4 linked regions of the Caenorhabditis elegans genome follow. The protein of the gene in region 1 interacts with the protein of each later gene in a pairwise test. Each region holds a gene or a part of one and is shown in the gene's direction. Other genes may lie near its edges.

Region 1 (6,873 bases):
GCCAAAACCTAAGCCTAAACCTAAGCCTGCTAAGCCGGACTCTGCCTGAAATTGACTTTTCCAGATTTGTGCCGGCAAAAAGAAGCAAAAGTCAACAAAGCCTGTGGTTGAATCAACCTCGGCTTCAAGTTCTGTCAAAAATGGTGCCAATGCTGCTCCAGACTGCCCAGTTCCACCACCGGGGCTTAGATCAGTCGGCAAGGACACTCAGGACCCGAATATGCCGCCAAACAAGGAAGACAAGGTTACCAATTGCCCAACAAGAAAATTAAAACAAATCAAAGTCTGAATTTTCAGAAACCAGAGTCCAAAAAGTCAGCGGAAAAGCTTTCGAAAAAATCGGACAAAACCAAGAAAAAGACGACAGTATCGAGTGAGGATAAGCCTGAAAAACCGGAAAAATTGACCGAAGAGGAGAAGCCGAAGGAAAAGGAAAAAGCGAAGGAGAAGACTGTTCCAGTTCAATCGAAGCTTCGCGAGGGCGACAAGGTAAGCTGAGAATTTTTGGAAAATTGGGCTTATATGAGGTCGCCGCAACGACGCCGGCGCCGGACTCACTCATGCCGCATGTATCCGTATGTATAGTGCGGCGCGGAACTGGGAATGTGGCTACCGCTTTTTTTCAAATAACAATCTTTTCTCACTACATTGAGTACACACCAAACGACTCGTTTCATTTACTAGCGTGCTCATTTACTTGAAATCCCTAACAATGGCTCAATCCCTTTGACGCTCATTTACTAATGTTTTCGCCACAAAACGTCATAAAGGTTGGATGGTAAAATTGTAAACATACCAACTATGCTGATATATCAGCATACTTGGTACATCGTTAATGTTACTTACATCCATTTCTCTGTTAGTAAGGAGATGTTATCTGTTATCTGGCTTGCACAAAACAAATTGGACAAAAGAGAGATGTCCACAAAGCGACGCCGACTCCTAAAAAAATCAGGGAGACAATACCGCGGTCTGCGTATCTCCACAGGCTCACCTGCTAGATGGCAATCAACCAGCGTTCAAGTAAATGAAAACACTAGTAAATGAGGGCTTGCCTGAGCATAGTTTTCCGGTCAAATTAAACATCTTAAACCTTCATAACTTAGCGTTGAATTTTCAGAACGCGGTTGTCACAGATCCTATTGTCACACCTGAAACGGACGAGTACCCCACACTTGAAGAGGATGGCGATAAGAAGACGGAGAAAAAGACTTTCAAGAAGGATAAGACTGATAAAAAGAAGTAGACTAGTATGTGGAATAAATGATTTTTGATATTAAAAATAAAATTTCTTTGACGAAAAATGTTCTCCTCGACATTTTATTGGTTTTCAACTTTTTTCTATTTTCCGGCAAATTGGCAAATCTCGAAATTGCCGGAATTTGCTGGAATAACGGCAATTGCCGAAAATTTTCGGAAAATTGTTGTTTTGCACTTTTTTTTGTAAATTCCAGTTTCATTGGCAAACCGAAAAATCGGCAAACCGGAAAATTGCCGGAATTGAAAATTTTCGGCAATTAAACAAACCGGCTAATTGCCAAAATTGAACATTTCCGGCAAATCGGCAAACCGGCAATTTGCCGATTTGCCGAATTTGTCGACGAAAAAATTGCCGCTCGCCCCTGTTGTCGACCTACATAGGTCTGGATACCTACAAAGTTCCCACTAGTAGTACTAATAAAAGGGGAGGTAGAAGATGAGATTAACGATTTCCTGAATTCCATCTCAAGCTGTCTCGCGTTAATTATGCACCACACCCTACCCTTTTATTTCGTAATCTCTCCCTCCGAGCCACCCATCTTCACCAACAACTACTACCACCTGCCGTACGTTTCCATAACAACCTGGGCCTCACTCCTGTCAAACTCTTTTTCTCGGATTGCTCTCTCTCTCCCGCTTTTTGTGTTCTACTCAATTTTGAGAACACATTTATTTCGGAAAATAATATTTCTGAAGACATGCTCTAGAAGTTTTTGACGGCAGTAGTAGTAGTCGTATATTTCCTGTAAGTTTTTGAATTTGTATGTTTTTTTTTGTTGCTGGTTTCAAACAATTTTTGTTTTCAAACGTATTTATTTTAAAAATACGCATGTAAATTTCCTGCAAAATCTTTTTTGTCAAAAATTAAAAATTTATCTTCAAGATATATGTTTTGTATTGAAAAATTTGAATTCAAATTTCTCTTTGGAAAAATTTCAGCAAATTTGTGTTCCGTAGTGACGTTAAAAGTTGTTAAAATGCAAATTTTTTCAAAAAAATTTAAAATTTTCCATTTTAATTTCCTTCATACATTTTTTGGAAATTATTTGACTTTTGCGCCAAAATTTATTAGTATTATAGGCTTACAATTAGGATTAGGCTTAGGTTTTTCACCAGAGGAAATTATTGAAAAATAAAAAAAAACAACGTAGAACAAATTTCACCAAATTTTGAATCTTTGTTGAAACTACCACAATTTGAAATAAAACAAACTCATTAAAAAAATGGTTCCAGATTTCCCCATGGAAAATCCACAACTTTCGTATATTTCCTAGCATTTCCTTCCTAATATTCCACAAAATGGCTCCACCGAAAGATCCACCAGTGCTGAGGAATCTACAAGCCACAGCGGACTTGCTAGACGCTCTTCAAAATGTAAGTTCAGCTTCTCTTACAGTACCTCAAAAAATTCGTTCCAGGACCCATCATTACTCAACGATGAGGAGTTCATCAAGCGTCTCTCAATTTTGCGTCAAAAACACGAGGAGACCACCAACTTCCTTGCCAAGAAGCTCGGCGCCCCACCGTTGCCAACTATGATGACGTCATCAGAAATTACACAGCATAGGTCGAGCTATAAGGTGACAAAATCTTCGAGTTGTCATTTTCAAGATGAAGCTTCTCCTTCTGACTATCAAATGCCACGTCATCTAGATCTGAAACCGAGATCTTCAGAAGTGAGAGTCCCTGTTCGGGCCGCACCGGAGCCTCCGAGGGAGCAGTCTTGGAGTCAAACTGAGTATGCCACGTTGGCTCACAATCAAAGCCACGAGGCACTTTATGAGGATCCACGTCATCAGGTTCATGCTACATCATCCCATCAGAATCCACGTCATCAAAGCTCTCGGCACCACAATATCGAATCTACAGCACCATCACAGGTCTCTGTTACGTCATCAGTCCAAAGTGTAGCGGCTTTATCTGGCCAAAATCCTCGTCAGCAGGTTCATGCTACGCCATCCCATCAAATTCCACGTCATCAAAGCTCTAGAACCCACCAAAATTCACGTCAACAGGTTCCGAGTGCTACATCATCAACTCTCCAAAATCCACGTCATCGAACATCCAGCGCGTCACGTCATCATTCGACAAGAAATGCCACGTCAGCAACAGTCCGGCAAATTTTGGCAAACGCATCGACCCGGCACCTCAGCTCCGCACCACACATCGCCACTTCCGTCGCCATGCCATCAGGGTTACTGTTATCTTCTAGTAATACGAAACACGTGGCATCTTCTAAGTCAGAAAATCCACAATTTGCCACGTCATCACACGTTGTTGAGGAGAGTTTTTTAGAGGACGGAATGTCAACGACACGGGAAGTTCCAACAATTCGGGATGAAGTTGTAGCGGGCGACTTAAAGCTTTCTAAGAATCGATCCAAGTCTATGCATCAGCTATCAAAGTATACACCACAGGTTACCGTACCGAAGCCGTTTCAGTTGAGCTTGAGGTAAGTAGCTTACAAGGGAAGTATTTCAACTTAGTTGCGGACTTCTGGATGTAACCTAAACTATAATTTTTTTTCAGAAAATCCACTGGAAATACTTACGCAAAAAAGTTCATGAGCGGCCTAATTACGGAAAAGCAAAAACTTGAGGAGGACGCCAAGAAAGCATTGGAAAACACAAAATTTCGGGCAAAACCTGTCCCCAAATCAACATATCAGCCTACAAATACATTTGCGACGGAGCAAAAATACGTAGAAGCCATGAGGAAAAAGGTGGCGGCGAAGGCTCGGAGGAAGTTTGAAGTTCAGAATGAAATGGTCCGATCGAAGAGTGAAGGAAATTTGGGTATGGTTTTTACATTGAAACTAGGATTTCTTGCAAAGTTTTAGGAAAACTGTTTTTTTTGTTGGAATAAACCGGAAAAATTACTAGCTTTTCTCATAGTCAGCTATTTAAATTTTAAAGGAACATTATGAAATTGATTATTGCCTACCGCAAATTAAATGTTGAATTCAAATTCAAAAAAAAATACCATTCCAAATTTTTTTACAGCTTCAATAAAACCTCTCGGGTACGTACCTCCATCAACATATATCTCACCAATTCCAGTGAAACCAAATGCCAGAAGCCGCAGTGCAACTATGAGAGCGACTATTCTTATTCAAGAAGCTACTACTCCAAAGGGAATTAAGGTAAACAAAATTAGAAATTTTGAACAATTAATAATTTTATTTAGAAACAAAAATTAAAAAAATTTAATGTTTTGGTTTAGAAATTTAGTTTTGTTTCATCTATATTCATCTACAAATTCGTTGTCAGAATATTCAACATTCCAGAGCCACCGAGCCCAGTCAAACCTAACCCATCACCTACGTCACGGGCGGTGCACTATGGACGCCTCCGCCGTCTCACTACACCGGCGGACTTCGCCACCGGATTTTGAGAAAATCCATGCAAAAGTGAGTCTAAAAATTAGTTATTTAAAAAAAAGTTGAGTGAAATTTTAAATTTTGGTAAAGTTTCAGAAAACCCAAATAAGTAGTTCTTTTTTGTTATTTCGTTTTTTTTGGAGCATAAAAACTATGTATTTTGCAAATTCTATGGATGCATGCTAATTTTCTACGTGGCACGATATTGCCTGGTAGGCACGTATTGGGGCTCAGAGTAGGCGTAGGCCGCCTTGAAGACAAATAGGTGATTATATAATTTTTTTTCCAGATCACCGATAACTTTCGTAACACAAATTCAAAACCCTCCACTGTGCCGATACCTTTCAAATTCGCATCCAGAAGTAAATCAGCAACTTCGAGACACGGAAATTGTCAAGAACAGGCTCCAAAACCATTCAAAAAATCGACTGAAAACTTGCCGAAAACCTCGAAAAATCGAGTGCCCAGCACTCACGCAACACAACTTCGCGAGGAGCTCAACCGAGCAAAAATTGAGCTGAAAAAGTCTGAAAAATCGGGAAAAAACGGGAATTTCTGGGCTGAAGATAATAAGCAGAGGATTTCCTCGTTTTTGGGAGCACGGAGCAAAACTGAGGAGGATATTGCGATGAGGACAAAGCAGAAACTGTAAGACTTGTTATTTTTAAAAAATATTATCAAAATTTGAAAATCGTTGAGGTTTGTCAAATTCAGCAAAAAAAACATTTTTCCAGAAAACGGGCAGACGCATAACCGGTCACTCCCTCAAAATGGTTTGAATTTCAAAAAAAAAAGAGAGAGACACAGACAGCGTGTCGCTCTGCCTGTCTGCGTCTCTTTTTCTCATGTTCTTTTTTTTTAATGTTAAAACAGTTTCCTGATTTTCAGGCAACAACAGCAGGAAACAACTCAAGAATACATGAGGCAGCTGGCCGAGATGAAGCAGAGGTTAGTTTGATAATTTTCGGAAGTTTTGAAAACCTTCCAAAAATTTCAGAGTGCTCAACGGCCCGCTAATCATGGAAAAACAGACGGCCCTGGCGCAGGAGCACCGTCTAAAACGAAAATTTGAGGAACGCATGAAAAGCGCCAAGGGGCGAGGTATAGAAAGGGTCCAAAGCCAGGAAAAGCAGCAATCAATCGGGAGAAGAAGCTCAGAAGTTAGTGGAAGTGGAACTTTTGTGGTTGACAAGGGTTATGAAGAGAGTTTTGAGTCGGAAGACAAGTCTGAAAAGTCTGGAAGTTCCACGCCATCTGAGTCTGGAAGTGGTTCTGAATCCGAGAATGAATCCAGGTCATCAAGAAGCTCAAAGCCAAAAAGTTCAAAATCAACGTCTTCAAAATCTTCAAGCTCACGATCCACTTCATCTTCCTCGGAAGCTTAAATGCTTGTTATTTTCTTTCAATTGACTAGGCTTTTAGCAGTTTTTATTTCAAAGAGTTTCAGCATTTTCCAAAAAATCGAAATTTTGTAAGACTTTTTTTCCGTTTGACCGCTCCTTTTTTGGTTCTTAACTCAAATTAGGTGCTTTTTTTTAATTTCTTGGGTAAAATTTTCGAAATTTGTTTTTTAATATAAAATGATTTATTGTAAAATGCTGGAGTTTCAGTTTTTCTTGAGTAATTTTAAGATGTGATTTCTTTGCGATTTATGAACAAATTGGTGATTTTTATTCAGTTTTATTTTTTAATAAATTCTCCATAAAATTAAAGTTCATTTTTGAAGTCCACCAAAATTGTTTACAATTTTTTAATTCATAATTTTAAAAAATGTTGAATTTCACGCCAGATCTCGAAGAATTAATGATATTAAACTTTTATAGAAGTTACGATTAATTTGATTCAAACATTATGTGAAGTGGAAACTATAAAGAAACTATGTATCAAATTATATATATGAAATTAATATTAAATTCTTATTTTTAAACGTTTTAAATGAAAGATTGACAAAAATTAATTGGAAAAATCATGACTGGAAAATAAGTTGATCCCTCTGGCAAATCACGCCGGCAATGTAGGTTGGCAAAAGTTCGCAGATGAACACTTTTTCCGGAATGTCAGTGTCGAACATTTGTAATTCCTTGTCTGGGAACTCACTGAAAATTTGATATCAATGATTTTATTTTAAAGCCAAAAAGATTCACTAACGAAATGTCGTATTCCCAGTCGGGAACATGCTGGAACTTCCTGAATTGCGGCTGCACATCATATAGCTGCATAATTCCATCGATGTC
Region 2 (4,964 bases), on another chromosome or scaffold:
CACGCGACTCGGTGCATTCAAGATATAAGATGATAACGTAAACTGATGATTATCCCGGCAGTACCTCCTTCCTTTTCCTTTTTCGTACATTCCATCAGTTATATTATTGGTCTGTTGAGTCCAGCTATATAAGGATGAATATTGATGAAATTAGAAAGGTATGTTTGATCCATTTTTCTCAATATTATGATATAATTTTTGTACATCGAGCTCTTTATTTATACTAGTCCAACGTCAAACATTTGCATTTGTAATAAGAAACTGATGTTTGCCAAATTATCTGAAAAAAAAAATCAATTTGCTAATTTTGAATATTTTAAAAATACTTTTTTTCGGCCATACTTTAATTTTTCAAAAAGAGGGTAACAGCTGAAAATACATAAATACAAAGTCCTACCAGGCGGCCTATGCCAGCCTCTATTGCCAAAGTATACGTGATATCCGTGGAAGTTACAATCTAAACAAAAATTTGGTCAAAACTACGGAAATTATTAAAAAAAATTATAGAATTTGTTATCATACTATTAGAAAATTGTTAAATAATTTCAATTAATTAAAAACTGTTTGAACCAAAATATTTTGCTATCTTCAAAAGTGTTATCATCCTTATATTTTCCCCTGTTTTCATCGAAACCGTCGCTGATCAGTTGATCTCGTACACGAGTATTTTCAAAATTTCTCCATTTTTTATGATCAACCATCGACTAAATTAATTGTTTCAATGCTGTATTACTGTTCCTATTTACCTCATTGACATAGACATCTCAGATCATGGTCTGCAGAAGATTCGCGTTGCAAACGAAAATTTTCACGAAAAGTTGATAAAAGCCAGTCGGACATCATCAACTATTGATCGTTTCTGCCGTTTTCAAACTGATTTATGACATCGTCTTGTCTCATCCATTCATATAAATTTCTTTCTTCTAAATTTATCATCCTAAAATGTCAGACATTCAACCAAACGTCCTCCTATATATTTCCATCTAAATATTCCACGTCTTCATCTCATCTCATTTTCCTTCCTTTTCACAATACAAAGGATGCGTCAACCAGTTTTCATTATTGTGTTCTGTTGATTTTTCTCAGCGTCCCCCTCCTACTTTCGATTCGATACACCATGATTTTATGGCTTTTACCGTAACCCATTTGATCGTTTCAAAGAAAACTTGGTTTTTTCTTCAATCAAAACCATTGAAATGTCTGTTTAAGGTCAAAAACTAAAATTCGAGAAATTTGAGGAAGTTGAAAAAAAGTTTTGAACGAGGCTCGTCACAAGGCAGTCGTAAGACTCCAAATTCGGTAAATTTACTCAACAAAAAAAACCTGTTTCAGTTTCCCCTTTTTCAGCATCGTGAAAAAATGAAACATTCCACTATCCATATTTAAGCTTCATCAATTAATTGAAATTGAAAAATGACTGTATGTAAGCACATACGCCTGAAAAGGCCTACAATCCAATTCATACCCAACGTCTTAAATTTCAACTCAACTAGAAACAGAGATTTACATCTATTTTACGAAGAAGATCCACTGGGGCATGCTTTCTTTTGGAAGTTCAAACTGTATTTCATTGATCATAATCATATCTTTTATTGTTCAGGCGTCCATTTGTCTGTGATCTATTTCATATCATTTTCCACGTGCTTTCAAGTTCATCATCTGACTGTTCTTCTTCTTCTTCGTATTTTTTTCAATTTCTTCCAACCGTTCTTCTATCTCACACTACACTCTAATGAAAACCCACGTGTAGGTTGTGTATGGGTAGCCGCGAGTCTCCTCCCACGTGGATTTTTCTCTGCAGAATGGTATTGGGGGCCACACGAATTATCTAGTTCATAGGCCACGCCTTGTATCTCTAGGCTTCTGAGTCTCCAGCTATTTCGTCTCGTATAAACGGCAACGTACGGCTCACGTTTTGTCTCTGTTTAATTCTTATTTCCCGGTGACTGTCTATTCCTCTGAAAACCAAATCTTGTTCTCTGAAAATGCCACCAGCTGGACAAGATGATCTTGACTTCTTGGTGAGACCTTCCTTGTTTGAACTGATCAAGAAAAACTTCTGTTTGAGAATTTTGTGTAAAATTATTTCCAATTACTAAAGTCCAACTTATTTCAGAAGTACGCCATGGAATCGTACGTTGCTGACGTCAACGCCGACATTGGCAAGACTACTATCGTATTCACTCTTCGTGAAAAGGCAGGAGCTCTCGCTGAAACATTGAAGCTGTTCCAGGTTAGTCATGAAAAAAACCAGACTAGAAATGTCAGAGGATCATGAGACTTCAGAGGATGACTATTGCGTCAGCGACACTTTTTTTTTTAAATCTTATGATTCTCACGTCTACTCTTGATCAGGCGGTTTAATATTTTATGCATCATAAAGCGTTGAATAATATGATCTTCAATTATGTTTAGACGGTTGAGTAGACATAGAAAAAACATTTATATCAAATTAAAATTTGAAAATTTGCACCAAACTGTTTCTAAATATGATAAGAGATAAACTACGTAGTTGCATTTTTTAATCCGGTTCGCGATTTTTGATTATCAAAGATGTCGAAAATCGTGTCACGAGAAAAAGAGATCATATCAATTGTCTCAAATTCCTACCAATTACATGCTTCATTACACATTCTTGCAGGCACATGATGTGAATCTGTCTCACATTGAATCAAGACCATCAAAGACTCATGAAGGATGCTATGAGGTGCTCGTTGAATTTGCTGAAGCTGAAGACCATCGTAAGATTGAAGGAGTTATTGAGCATTTCCAACAAAAAGCTGAAAAGAAGGTTCTTGTTCAAGACTGGAACACCAAAAACAAACAAAACAAGGGTACGCTATAACAATAATGAAACTCACAGTATTAAATTCAAGAGCTTTGTAGATTCTGTTCCATGGTTCCCACAGAAGATCAACGACATCGATCAATTTGCCAACAGAATTCTTTCTTATGGAGCTGAGCTTGATGCCGATCACCCTGGATTTAAGGACATGACCTACCGCGAGCGCAGAAAGTTTTTCGCCGATATTGCATTCAACTTCAAACAGTAAGTCATTTCATCAACAAAAGTAGCAATATGTGCCAATAAATATGTAACATTGAAGGCGTACTGAATAAAATCCAAAAAATCCGAATTGCAACCTGATCGTACTTTCCAGCGGAGACAAGATCCCTACTATCACCTACACTGATGAAGAAATTGCCACGTGGCGTACAGTCTACAACGAGCTGACAGTTATGTACCCGAAAAACGCTTGCCAAGAGTTCAACTACATATTCCCACTCCTCCAGCAGAATTGTGGTTTTGGACCTGACCGCATTCCACAATTGCAGGATGTTTCAGATTTTTTGAAGGGTAAACAAATCATTATCATCTGATTGTTTTTGTATTTGTTTCGTGTTCAGATTGTACCGGGTACACGATTCGACCAGTCGCTGGTCTTCTTTCTTCTCGTGATTTCTTGGCTGGTTTGGCCTTCCGTGTTTTTCATTCCACACAATACATTCGCCATCATTCCGCTCCAAAATACACACCTGAACCGTGAGTTTGAACATGATAATTTTAACCGAGGGTGGGATTTCGTAAACGACTTTTGCTTTGAAAAAATTGTGAAAACTCTATAGTGCAACATAAAAGGAAAATAAAATCTAATCGGTTGATTATCATCTGGATATATTCTGAATTTTTGACAATAAGCTGGAGATGTAACTTTCAGAGATATCTGCCACGAGCTTCTGGGACATGTTCCACTATTTGCTGATGTTGAATTTGCACAATTCTCACAGGAAATCGGTCTTGCTTCTCTTGGAGCTCCAGATGATGTTATTGAAAAACTTGCCACAGTATGTTTGAACATTGAAACCCCCTTTTTATTTTGAAATATTAGCTCTACTGGTTCACAATCGAATTTGGAATCTGTCAACAAGATGGGGAGAAAAAAGCTTACGGAGCCGGACTTTTGAGTTCATTTGGAGAGCTTCAATATGCGTTGAGTGATAAGCCGGAAGTTGTAGATTTTGATCCAGCTGTATGTTGTGTCACCAAATATCCAATCACAGAATATCAGCCAAAGTATTTCTTAGCTGAATCATTTGCAAGTGCTAAGAACAAACTTAAGTAGGATCAAATAGTCAGTTTCAACTGTAATCTAGATAATTTCAGATCATGGGCAGCTACCATCAATCGTCCATTCCAAATTCGTTATAATGCTTACACTCAACGAGTTGAAATTCTCGACAAGGTAGCAGCACTTCAACGTCTCGCAAGAGACATCAGAAGTGATATTTCTACTTTGGAAGAAGCTCTTGGAAAAGTGAACAATCTCAAGATGAAGTGACTTTTTGATTAAATTGTTAATTTGCAAGAATAAATGTACATTGTTCTCAATGTTTGTTGAATTACAAAGAAACCTGAACAACAATTACAAATTTGTCCATGCTGCTCGATTTACAGACGATTTTTAAACTACCTACGATGGAGTTACAACTATGATGACTGTTCTAAAAAACATATCATATTCCCTTAACTCCTTGAAAACAGGGAAATGTGAAAACTAATTAATTAAAAATAGTGTTCACCGTCGTTGGAAGCAATGCACTGAAATGAAAATAAACAATTCGAAGCCTTGTTCACTTCCAATTGTTTTGTTTTTTTTCTCTCGCCAGGATTAACGCGTATTTTTCCAACATTTTTCCGGCATCTGAAACGATTTCCTTTTCAGCAATTACTTTATTTGAAGCATCACATGAAAAAAGTGCGAAAAATTGGTGTGAGCACCAAAATGTTTCCCAAATTAAAGCCAGTTATCCATTTTTGTTGCAAAAACCACGTCATCTACGACAGCGAGTGTTTTGGTGTGAGTGATCTAACTGCGAAAAACGAAAACTGTGCATATAAATTGTCATGCATTTTTGATTATTGTTTAGTTTTTGTGTGTGTGTGTGTGTTGTACGGAAGTCTC
Region 3 (7,917 bases), on another chromosome or scaffold:
TTCCGAGCACGGTCACAGCAATTCCTACGGCTGGGCCATTGATCAGAGCAATCAAAGGCTTCTCGTGGTTAATATAGGCCTGAAAATTTGAATTTATTATTGAAATATATATTTTTAAACTAACATTGACATAATCCTTCATAATAACTTTAGCTGTATTAGCCATATCCGCAATTTGCTCTTTAGTACCTCCAGCAGCAGCTTTAAAATTAGTCAAATCGTTTCCAGCGCAGTAATATGATCCATTGGCAGTAATCACAGTGATTGAGGTGCTCTTGTCATTGTTGGAGACCTCCAGTGCCTTTTGAATTCCTTGATACATTTCCAATGTCAATGCGTTGAACTTCTTTGGTCTATTCAATGCGATTTTGAACACTTTTCCCTCGCGAGTCACACTTAAACCGTCAACGTTCTCAAGTCCTTCGATTGATGGCCCAGTTGGTTCTGGAGCAGCAGAAGCTTCTTCGGAAATGAGTCCACCGACCAGTTTAGCATAGTTGGCGCGAGCTTCATCCTGAGTTTGTCCCTTCAAAGTATTCCAGGCATCATACTTGGCTCTTCCAACGAAATCCATCATTCCCGGGCGTTTTCCTTGCACATCCCCAGCGGTGGCTTGTTTGAAAAGCCCGTAGAGCTGCAGTTTCACGTCATTGTCCGGCTCTTCCTTCAGAGTTTTCAGATTTTTCTGCGCCTTCTCGAAGTCAGCCTGGGCAGAGAACGAGCGAACGGAACTGAAATTGAAGATTTATTCACAAATTAGATGATTTTTGCAGACTTACACTTGCGGATTGTAGAGAACACTTCTAGCGGCGAGGGTGAGATTTCGAAGCATTCTGAAATGAATTAAAATTGATTTTTTAAACGTTATAATTAATTTTTTCGGGGAAAAGAGAAAAAAAGAAAGAAAATGGACAACGTGAAGAAAAGAACAAGGTACACGGAGGGGCCGGGTAAATGATAAGAACGGCCGCCGTCTTTTTGTTGTTTTGAATGAACTGGCTACACACAAGAATACACATTGTAATGTGTAGCTGGACAATCGCTACTATACGCAAGACAATAGTGGAGCAATTATAAATGGGATAAATAATAGATTCAGGAAAATTTGGAGTTTCAATTTTTTTAAAAGAGAGCTCAAATTGTATAGATAACCTGGAAATTAAGATTTTAATATTAGAAAAAACAGTGAAAATCAAATTATAATCCCTAGGAGTCCTAGGAGAAATCCCCTCCTAGGAGAAATCAGAAAACTGATAAATAAAATCAATAAAATTTGCAGACAAAGGACGTTCACGGCCAAGGGTGTCAGTGTCCTGTAAAAATTACAAAAACGGGACAACGGGAATTCTCGTTCCCGTGAAAATTTTAAAAACGGGACAACAGAATTCCCGTTCCCGTGAAAACACCCCAAAAACGGGACAACGGGACAAACGGGACACGGGAATTGACACCCTTGTTCACGGCAACTACAAAATGCACAATACTTTGTCTACAGTACTCTGATTCAATTGTTTTGTTGTTTTTTTTTGTTAATTCTTTTTTTTTTGGTGTTAATTTTATTATTTAAATATGAATTTGTTATTTTTCGAGTGAAATCATTTTCATCCACGCAATCCTGAACGCCTGAAATTTTTGAAAAGTCTGCGTCTCTGCCCTCTAACGCGTGGCAACCGAGCGCGATTGCTCTTGAAAAATATTCACAGCTGGAGGCCTTTTTATTCTGTTTGAAACGTTTTTGCGTTCCAAATACAAAATAAAATCAATCTCCTAATTTTTAAATCAAGATGTCGAATTGAATCTGCTAAAAATTGAACGCGCTTCTTTATTACTGAGCTTTTAATCGCAAAAAACCGTTTTCCCCCGAATAATTAATATTTTTCAACAGAATACAACATTTGATGGATCTGGCATAGAATGTTCATACCTGTAAGTTTCCTTTAGAATTTTTTTAATAAAAAATAATTTTTGAAAATTCCAGAATGACAGGCCATCGGTTCTCCAGCTTCCGAAGCATGAAAAGGATTCGACTGCCGCCGATATCAAGTCAATTGTGGCAAATCGAGATCGAAGATTGATAGCAGTCGCAACAAATGATGCGATTTACATTTGGCTGGCAAATGTTAGTGCTGAAAACTAATAAAAATCTGATTAAAAAAACATAAATTCAGCCCCAACTGCTCCTGTGCTCCGTCGGGGTTATCGATGCCAATTTCAAAGAAACACGTGGAGAATTAAAAGAAATTTACTGGAAACCTGACTCAACAAGTATAGCTGTAACGGTAATATTTAAATTTTACAGTTCTTTCTTTGAAAATATTATATTTTTCAGACAAATCAATGCAAAATTTTAATCTATAATCTAGATTTGCGAGACGATGAACAATGCTACAATTTCACAGACTCTGCGGATCCATATTTCCAACGAAACTCACCGGAACTTTTTATAAAAGGATCTCGACCGACAGCTCATCTTCATCCAACAATAATCATAAATCTGGCTGATATACCAACATGTTGTGTTCCTTCTCGTGATGAATTTCTTGTTTGCCTTCAAAATGGATTCACTCATCATGTCACTTGGACTGGAGAGATTATTGCAAGCCTCTCATTCCGTGCCAGTTCAATTCCGTTCTCCGTGGATCAACTTCAGTCGAAATCTGAAAATATTACTTCAAAATCCACGTATATCTTTGACGCCGTGTATGCTCCACTTCTCGGAGGATTTGCGATTGTACTTTCCGATGGTCAAGGTGCTCTATTGACGTCGAATGATCCGAATTTTGCACCTAATGTGAGATTTTTATCATGAAAAATTAAAAAAAAAACCCATTTTTTATTATTCCAGGCAATTCTGGGAGTGTGGGCTCCGAATATGAAAGATGCCACGTGTTGCGATGTGAATCACAAGTTCCTTCTGATTCTTTTTGGATGTAAAAAGTGAGTTTTTTCAGATTTTTCAGATTTTAATTTTCAAAAATCAAACGCACAGTTTTCTTTTTAATCTAAACTATTTCCAGCGGCGACGTTTGTGCCTATAACATCGATGAACTAAATGGCTCACTCGTTCAATCGTTCCGAGTTGCTCCAAAAGTAACAAATGGTCCTGACTTGACGAATCGACTGGGTCCGGTTCACCGAATAACAGCCCTCGCGAATGGATACGGATTCGGTGCAATTTGGTCTCCACTATCCGGAGCTCATGCTCTTCCTCGGCTCGTCGCAGTTTTCACTTCATTCGGAGCTCAATCATTTTGCAATCTGGAAGGTGTCGTCGAAGAAGATCAAAATGATAGATACACGGCTATTGAATGGGGTCCAGAAGGTTTCCAACTGTGGCTTGGAACTGAAAATGAGCTTATGATGCAACCATTCGTGAGGAGTGCTTCATGTTCAAGCCCGGCAATGGAACATTGTGATAGAGCTGTATTGATGAGTGACTCGCAGGTTTTGATCAGTGCTGCAAGGGATCGAGAAGCAGAAGCTTGTGCACCGCATTCTGTATGGGATCATATTACAGTTACACATGAATATCTATCATCTAATTGGCCACTGAGAGTGAGTTTTTTAAAAGTAAAAACTAAAAGCATAAATTTGGTAAAACCATGAGGTAGGCATGTAGGCACGTAGGTATTTTCCGATAGAGTTTATTAAAATAAAATGTTAAAATTTAATATGTTTTCAGTATGCATCAACTGATCGAAACTATAAACATCTCGTCGTGGCCGGTGATCAAGGAATGGCATATTGTTCATTATCCAATCGACGTTGGAAGATTTTTGGAAATGAGACTCAAGAGAAGAATCTCTTGGTCACTGGAGGTGTCTTTATTTGGAATGATGACGTCATTGGAGTTGTTGGAGTTGCTGCGGATACTGACAAGTCCCATCTCTCATTTTATCCAATTTCTCAGAGACTTGACAGTCGATATGCGTCGGTTGTGGATTTGGAGCATAAATCGGTCATGTCCGTGTTACGGTAAGAAATATTCAATCTTGGAAATGAACTCTCATTATCAGTTTTTTTGGAATTATTCTAGATTCAGTGACATTAATATTTTCCCAATTTTTCCAGCGACGACGTTTGTGCAGTATTCGATATATCGGCTCAAATTACGCTTTATAAGCTCACGGCTCACTTGGAAACTGGACGAGATGCTTTTACAAAAGTCTCCACTGAAATTGTGACTGTTATTCGAATCAACGAAATTGTTCCACATCCAACATGTATTGTATCTCTTCAAATGACACAGCTGAATCTGGATGTACGGGGGAAGTTGTCACCTGCATTTTATTCAAGTATCGATACTGTGCTGGTTAATATTTCGGGAAGATTGATCACTTTGAGTGTTAATGAGGATGGAAAGGTTTGTACGGAAAATTAAAATTGCATGGTTTCTGAGTTTCCAGAATTTTGCAAAATTTGATGAATATTTAGAATTTTTGGAATTTTTAAATTTTATATTCTTGTCCAATTTTTGGTATTTCAGAAATTTTTAAAACATTCTGAATTTTTTGAATTTTCAGAACTTCTAGAGTTTTCGAATTTTTGGGTTTTCTGGAATTTAAAAAAAATTAAAATATTTTGGAATTGAATTTTTTGTTTCGAAATTTAATAATTTTCAATTTTTAGAAATTTCAAAATTTTTCCGTTCCTAGATTTTTCAACATTTTGAATTTCAGTATTTTTAAAACATGAAAAATTTTTCCTTTTTCCTAAATACTCGGTTAACTCGGTTAAACTAATTTTTTTCAATTTTCAGAATTTTTCAATTTTGGAATTTTGCAAAATTCAGTTTCTTTTTAATTTTCGGATTTTTTAAAGTTTTGAATTTGTGAAATGATTCAAATTTAGACTATTTGAATTTTCTGGAATTTTGGAAGTTTTGGGATTTCTGAAATGTTTGGTTTTTAAATTAGAAATTTTTGGAATTCGGAAATACAATATTAAAATAAAATTTACAGCTCCATCAACCCATGGTAATCGCGTCATACGTGGAAAAAATGTGGCATGACCGTTGTCAAGTCTCCCAATCAACCCAGTCTCAAAATCAAGATCTTCCATGGAAGAACCATCGGCGAAATGGATCAAATGTTTCAATCCAAAGTGTTTCCACATCAACAACTTCAGAACCATCATCTCCAATGAATCAATCATGTTCTTCACATTTGAGTAATGCTTTATGGATTGCTTGTGGTGCAAAAGGAATCAAAGTTTGGATGCCGTTGGTGCCAGGAAAACGAAATTTAGCCACACAGGAAATGACGTTTATCGCGAAACGAATAATGCTTCCATTTGAACTTGATATCTATCCAATTGTGATTAGTGCCAAAGATTGTCTTGCAATGGGTGTCGAGAGTCAACTACAACATGTTGCAAGAGCTTCAAGAAATCAAGGACAAATGGAAAGTATCACTATGTATGGACTTCATCGCAATAGTGAAGTATTTGTGCATCACCTGCTCCGACAACTTTTGAAGCGAAATCTTGGAGTTTTTGCTTTGGAGCTCGCCGGAGCCTGTCGTTCTCTTCCACATTTCACGCATGCTCTTGAGCTTTTGCTCCATGGAGTCCTTGAAGAAGAAGCTACAAGTAGTGAACCAATTCCAGATCCTCTTCTCCCAAGATGTGTAGCTTTTATTCACGAATTTCCAGAATTTCTGAAAACCGTAGCACATTGTGCACGAAAAACTGAATTGGCACTTTGGAGAACGTTATTTGATGTCACAGGATCTCCAAATGCACTATTCGAAGAATGTCTACAACTGAAACAACTCGAAAATGCTGCAAGTTTCGTGATTGTCCTGCAAAATCTTGAAACCACCGAAGTGAGTATGGATCAAGCAGCGAGACTTGTGAAGGAAGCATTAGAAGAGAAAAAATGGACGATTGCGAAGGAAATGGTCAGATTTGCAAGATCTATTGGTTCGGAGGATATTGATGCATTGTAAGAATTAATGAATTCATTAATAGAGAAATTAAAAAAGAATGCCTCCAAAAAGAGAACGCACGGAAAAAAGATTCCCAGAATACATGTGCCCTACATCCGTAACTCTCCTTTTATCAAGCGAGGTATTCAGAATCAAGGTCACCGTTGTTATCGTATCCGTTTCACGCTACGATCCACAGAATCGGCACCCACTTTGAAAAATAATTAAATGTGTTCAGAAATAGAATAATGACCGAAACTAAGTTGAATTCGCAACAACGAATTATTAGATACCGTAATCCACACATTTGCATTTGAAAAATTGGCCGTGTCGAGACCGGCTACCGTAGTTTTTAAGCAAACAAAAATAAAATTTGATAATAACTTTGCAATTGTTTTAATTTTTAAAAAGTTTCAGAACACCTCCACCAAGTGCCAAGACTTCTCTATCCCGCCGACCTACAGTATCCTCACCGTCCGCTGATTCTTCCACTGAATTCGTGATTAATAGATTTCAAGCGGGAGCTGCTGGAGGAAGATTAAATAAAGTTCGACATTCACAGAGTACTGAGCAAAAAGATGCACCGAGAAAAGATTCGATTGGCGGAAGTTCAAAGGATAAAATGGCGTTGTCTTGGGTTTGTGTGTTTTACTGGAAATTTTTATTTTTATAAAATCTAATTTCAGGGCCTATCTGGTGAACTTTCTCCACAATTGGCTACGAATCGACTCGCCGCAAAAATGACATCAATTCTAGAAGATCACGCGTGGCATTTGCTGAATAATTATTGGCTTCTAGATCTTGGTAATTGGAAAAAAAAATTCAGGACAATTTGGATTCAATTTTTTTCAGGATTCTTCTGGTCCGAACTTCAATTCGATTTGCTCGGTCTTTTGGAGACGCGACGGAAACAAATTTCTCTTTCACCGAAAACTACAAACGAAAATTGCTTTTTGATTGAAGATTTTGCCTTGGCACTTACAAGGTAAATTGGGATTCTTCCACTGAAAATGTAATAATTCAGAAATTTAAAAATAAACTTAAATTTTCGAGTTTTCCAGTTTTTTCGAGAATCTGAAAATCGAAAAAAAAACTTGAAATTTAATACTAAAAAATTTAAATTTTTAATTATTCCGATTTTTCGTGTTTTTCAGAAAAATGATACATTATACGGAAAAAAAATTTTTGATTTTAAATTTCCCGTTTTTTTTTTAATTTTTAAATTCTCGGAAAAATTGGAAAACTCGAAAATTTAAGTTTATTTTTAAATTTCTGAATTGTTACATTTTCTGTAAAAAATAATAATTAAAGAAAAAACACGAAACATTTTTTGGGGGAATTTTTAAAATCTAAAATTATTGGAAAAAAATGCAAATTTTATCTTTCAAAAAAAAAAAACTGAAATTTTGAAAATCGAAAAATTAAAAAAAATTTTAAGCGTTGTAAAAATATATGAGAAAAACCCAGAAGCTAAATATTAACCAGAAAAATGTAAATTTTGATGAGAAAAAATTATTGAAAAACTATCGGAAATTTTGAATATTCCTTCGATTTTGTCGATTTTCAATAAAAATTGGGAATATTTTTAATATAAAAAACTCTAATTTCAAAAATTTTCAGACTCCATGCTCAATTCTCGTGGCCATATCCTCTCATCGGTTCTCAATTCGTGCATCAAATTGAGAAGAAGCTTGGAAATATTCGTGTCAGCCAGAGTACTGCAAGCTTGAATGGACTACTAAATGACTCATTGGATAATATAAAGAAGCCTAAAGCCAGAAAATTGGAAAGGACTGTAGTTGATTTAAATGGAGCTAGATCGAGAATTCGTGAAACGGATATTGAAGCTAGCGAAGAAGACGTTGAGATTCAAGAAGCCGTGCTGGAAAGAGTACGTGGAAGTGCTGTGGAACTGGCACCAGTAATCGATAGATCCCCATCGACATCTTCTTCAATGAATCATCATGCTCCATTGGCTCCACCGTCACCT
Region 4 (2,829 bases), on another chromosome or scaffold:
TATTAATATTTTCCAGTACATTTATATCCACTTAAACTTTCAGTTGTGAAAATTCAGATACCAGCTTTTCCAACCGGTCACACCTTCTTCTTACATTTGCTTTTCCTCTGGACACATTCAAAACTCCAGAATTATTATATTTGTTCGGCAAACTGCAAACATTCGTCTCCCAGACTACCCATAAAAATCATAAAAATCGTACAACAACTGGACAAAAAAAAACAACAATATACATATATGAGTGGAGGATATCAGCATATTACCCTGTCAAGGTCGGGCATGTGTTAGAGGTTTTAGAGATACAAAGAAATGAAGAAAAATGAATGAGAAGGAGACTTATTGATGAGAAAATGGCAAATTCATGATAACACATGAACAAAGAAGTTATGCGATTGTAGTGAAAAGGCATGCTTAGTGAGAAATTTTGATATTCTGCACGGGCGGTTCACTGAGACATTTATAATTAAAGATCAGGATTAAAACAAAACACAATTCCTGAAAAGTATTTTCTGAAAAAAAAACATTTATACTTGAGTGTGAATTTTTATTTTTGCAGGAACCACACAAGCTGAATCTCTACTAACCCGACAGGTGAAGATTTTTTCGAGTTGGAATATAACGTTTTTAAGAATGAGTTCATAATCTTTGTACTGTTTGAACAACTGATTTTCCCAAATTTTTTAGAACGAAACTGAAATTATGTTGAGGCCACTGATCTTTGCGAATCGGCGAGGTTCCGAATCAAGTCGACGCCGGAAATCTTTTCTACTATGATCTTCTCACGTCCTACTTCAGTCGTCTTCGTCCCATTGATCTTGACCTGAAACATTTTGAAAACTAAAGCGAGTAGAAACGAAGTAAAAATAAAGACGGCTCTATCTGATTCCATATCAATTCAGCATCCCGGAAAACTGTTGTAATCTGGACATGACCGGGAGACGCGAAAATTCCCTCACATTTTCTTGTCTCAAAGATCTGTCAACTCCTGATTCCAACCAGTTTTCCGCAATACTGAATTGAGAGTTAATATTTCATGCATTTCGCCGGAGTTCAATTTGATTCTGCAGTTTTCACTTTGAGCTAATCTCCAACTTTTGCTTTCAATCCAATAAATCATAGACAACTTTGATAAATGAAGCATATAATCTGTACTACCACGAATTCGCCCGTCGATTGCTCCAACATAAATCGAATAGCACGTTGGAATGGGCAACCATTGTCGGCGACTAAAAATCTTAATATTATAAAAAATTTTGTTCCAGTCCCAACATTCTCGAAATCTTTTTTGATCTACCAAATTGGTACTTCTTTGTAAATGTCATAAACAGGTGCGAGAGGAACCAGATAATATCGATCTCATAGCAAGAGAGAAATGATGTCATCGGAGCAGATGTTCTCCTTTCCTATGCCATTCTTTTTGCTAGTTACAGCACTACATTATCGATTGCAGCTTTGGGTCTCGACACGAAAACGCTCGTCTCCGATATATCGACTGCTACTGTGCTCAATCAAACATTACCCATCTTTGTTCTTGTTTTCCTTATTTTTTATTTTTTTTGGAACACATTAATTTTTATATTTTTTATTTATTTCAGAAACTCAACACTAAAAAGAAGTATGCAACGCTATAATCCACCACAAAGCTCGAATCAAATGTACTGCCCAGGATGTAATCGTCAAATTCGAAAAGTTCAAGAGTTGATGGACGAGAGGTACCTGACAAACATTTGTAATGAAGTGGAGAAGAACACCATGAGACTTCAAATTCAAGATTTGGAGAGACAAGTTCAAATGCGTCGATGTGAGAATCGGAAGATGAAGACTATTCAGGAAGTCGAAAAGGAAGGATCAACAGAATCTCAAGATTCAATTCATGACCATCCAATGGTAAAAGTGTTGATGGAGATCAACGATCAATTGATGATTGAAATGAGAAAAAAGGTTGAAGCTCCAGAAGAATATCCATTAGAAGAATGGAAAGATGCTATTGAACAAAAATGGAGTGAAAAGTATGAAAAGCTTCGTGATTATGCATTGGATCAACAAGACATGGTCAAATATATGGAAGAGAATGATGATCGACAAAAAGAAAGTATTGAGAAGTATAAACGGAAAATTGGTTCGATGAAAAAAGTAATTGAAAAGATGGAATTCGAAATGGCACTTCTTCAATCGGAATTGGAAATGAAAGACTCCTCATGTGTCGAGAAGTCTGTAAATAGTGAGGAAAAGCAGGAAAACAAGGAAAATCTTTCTGGTGTTCTCGATAATAAATTCATTTTCCAGAACTAATAATCTAACTTCAAAATCTCTTTTTTTTTCAATGCTTTATGTTATTTTCTTGCTTTTTACGAATAAAGTCTGTAATGACTATTTTTCGTTATATTGAAAAACCTTGGAGTCAGGAGTCTTCATAAAAGCAACAAACTTGCCCATTTCGGTAAAATAATTTAACTTTTAAAATAATCTAAAAAACAATTAAATGTTTTCTTGGAAAATTGTTTTGCTAAATCTTTTCATTCACCCAAAAAAATCAATGGCTATGGAAGCCCCTCAGTATTGAAAAATAAATGTTCTCAGGTTTCATATTTAGGTAAATTCATTAAATGTTACGAAAACTTTATTTATTCCAATAAGTAATTTCTAACAAGTTCTATCAATTGTCATCATCTACGAGTTCATTTCTTCTGACTAATCGCATTATGTCCAAAATCAATTTCTTTTTCTGAAAAATGAAATAAAATTGAAAATTTAATTTAATTTATGTTCTTACCTTTGCATAGTCATTATCGCTCATTCCCTCAAGAACTGGATCGAAATCTCTTTCGA

What was found.
Region 2: the proteins of famh-161 (region 1) and pah-1 interact in a two-hybrid assay, tested with the Caenorhabditis elegans proteins (one large-scale study listed by BioGRID).
Region 3: the proteins of famh-161 (region 1) and R06F6.8 interact in a two-hybrid assay, tested with the Caenorhabditis elegans proteins (one large-scale study listed by BioGRID).
Region 4: the proteins of famh-161 (region 1) and K04G2.10 interact in a two-hybrid assay, tested with the Caenorhabditis elegans proteins (one large-scale study listed by BioGRID).

Annotation. Positions count from the first base shown.
Region 1 is NC_003283.11:20,529,174-20,536,046, reverse strand, and holds famh-161 (Protein fam-161), read left to right. Parts: upstream 1-1,874; 5' UTR 1,875-2,005; intron 2,006-2,493; 5' UTR 2,494-2,559; coding exon 2,560-2,634; intron 2,635-2,678; coding exon 2,679-3,712; intron 3,713-3,789; coding exon 3,790-4,055; intron 4,056-4,262; coding exon 4,263-4,402; intron 4,403-4,546; coding exon 4,547-4,669; intron 4,670-4,928; coding exon 4,929-5,287; intron 5,288-5,527; coding exon 5,528-5,587; intron 5,588-5,636; coding exon 5,637-6,024; 3' UTR 6,025-6,351; downstream 6,352-6,873. Other genes in the region: Y38H6C.15 (uncharacterized protein), read left to right, coding at 65-244, 298-489, 1,121-1,246.
Region 2 is NC_003280.10:8,762,093-8,767,056, reverse strand, and holds pah-1 (Phenylalanine-4-hydroxylase), read left to right. Parts: upstream 1-1,845; 5' UTR 1,846-1,985; coding exon 1,986-2,021; intron 2,022-2,116; coding exon 2,117-2,233; intron 2,234-2,641; coding exon 2,642-2,834; intron 2,835-2,886; coding exon 2,887-3,049; intron 3,050-3,161; coding exon 3,162-3,358; intron 3,359-3,408; coding exon 3,409-3,544; intron 3,545-3,719; coding exon 3,720-3,846; intron 3,847-3,890; coding exon 3,891-4,120; intron 4,121-4,165; coding exon 4,166-4,340; 3' UTR 4,341-4,435; downstream 4,436-4,964. UniProt on the Caenorhabditis elegans protein: Catalyzes the hydroxylation of L-phenylalanine to L-tyrosine. Catalyzes the hydroxylation of tryptophan to 5-hydroxy-L-tryptophan. Plays a role in the biosynthesis of a melanin-like cuticle pigment.
Region 3 is NC_003280.10:10,813,947-10,821,863, reverse strand, and holds the start of R06F6.8 (Guanine nucleotide exchange factor subunit R06F6.8), read left to right. Parts: upstream 1-1,885; 5' UTR 1,886-1,914; coding exon 1,915-1,926; intron 1,927-1,978; coding exon 1,979-2,119; intron 2,120-2,168; coding exon 2,169-2,279; intron 2,280-2,329; coding exon 2,330-2,791; intron 2,792-2,845; coding exon 2,846-2,937; intron 2,938-3,017; coding exon 3,018-3,555; intron 3,556-3,682; coding exon 3,683-3,975; intron 3,976-4,071; coding exon 4,072-4,363; intron 4,364-4,961; coding exon 4,962-5,944; intron 5,945-6,338; coding exon 6,339-6,564; intron 6,565-6,613; coding exon 6,614-6,731; intron 6,732-6,779; coding exon 6,780-6,912; intron 6,913-7,547; coding exon 7,548-7,917. Other genes in the region: ech-4 (Delta(3),Delta(2)-enoyl-CoA isomerase), read right to left, coding at 1-79, 125-731, 780-832. UniProt on the Caenorhabditis elegans protein: Probable component of a guanine nucleotide exchange factor (GEF) that may be required for efficient fusion of endosome-derived vesicles with the Golgi.
Region 4 is NC_003279.8:8,058,187-8,061,015, forward strand, and holds K04G2.10 (uncharacterized protein), read left to right. Parts: upstream 1-1,617; coding exon 1,618-2,292; downstream 2,293-2,829. Other genes in the region: F18C12.4 (Small integral membrane protein 29), read right to left, coding at 2,657-2,725, 2,774-2,829.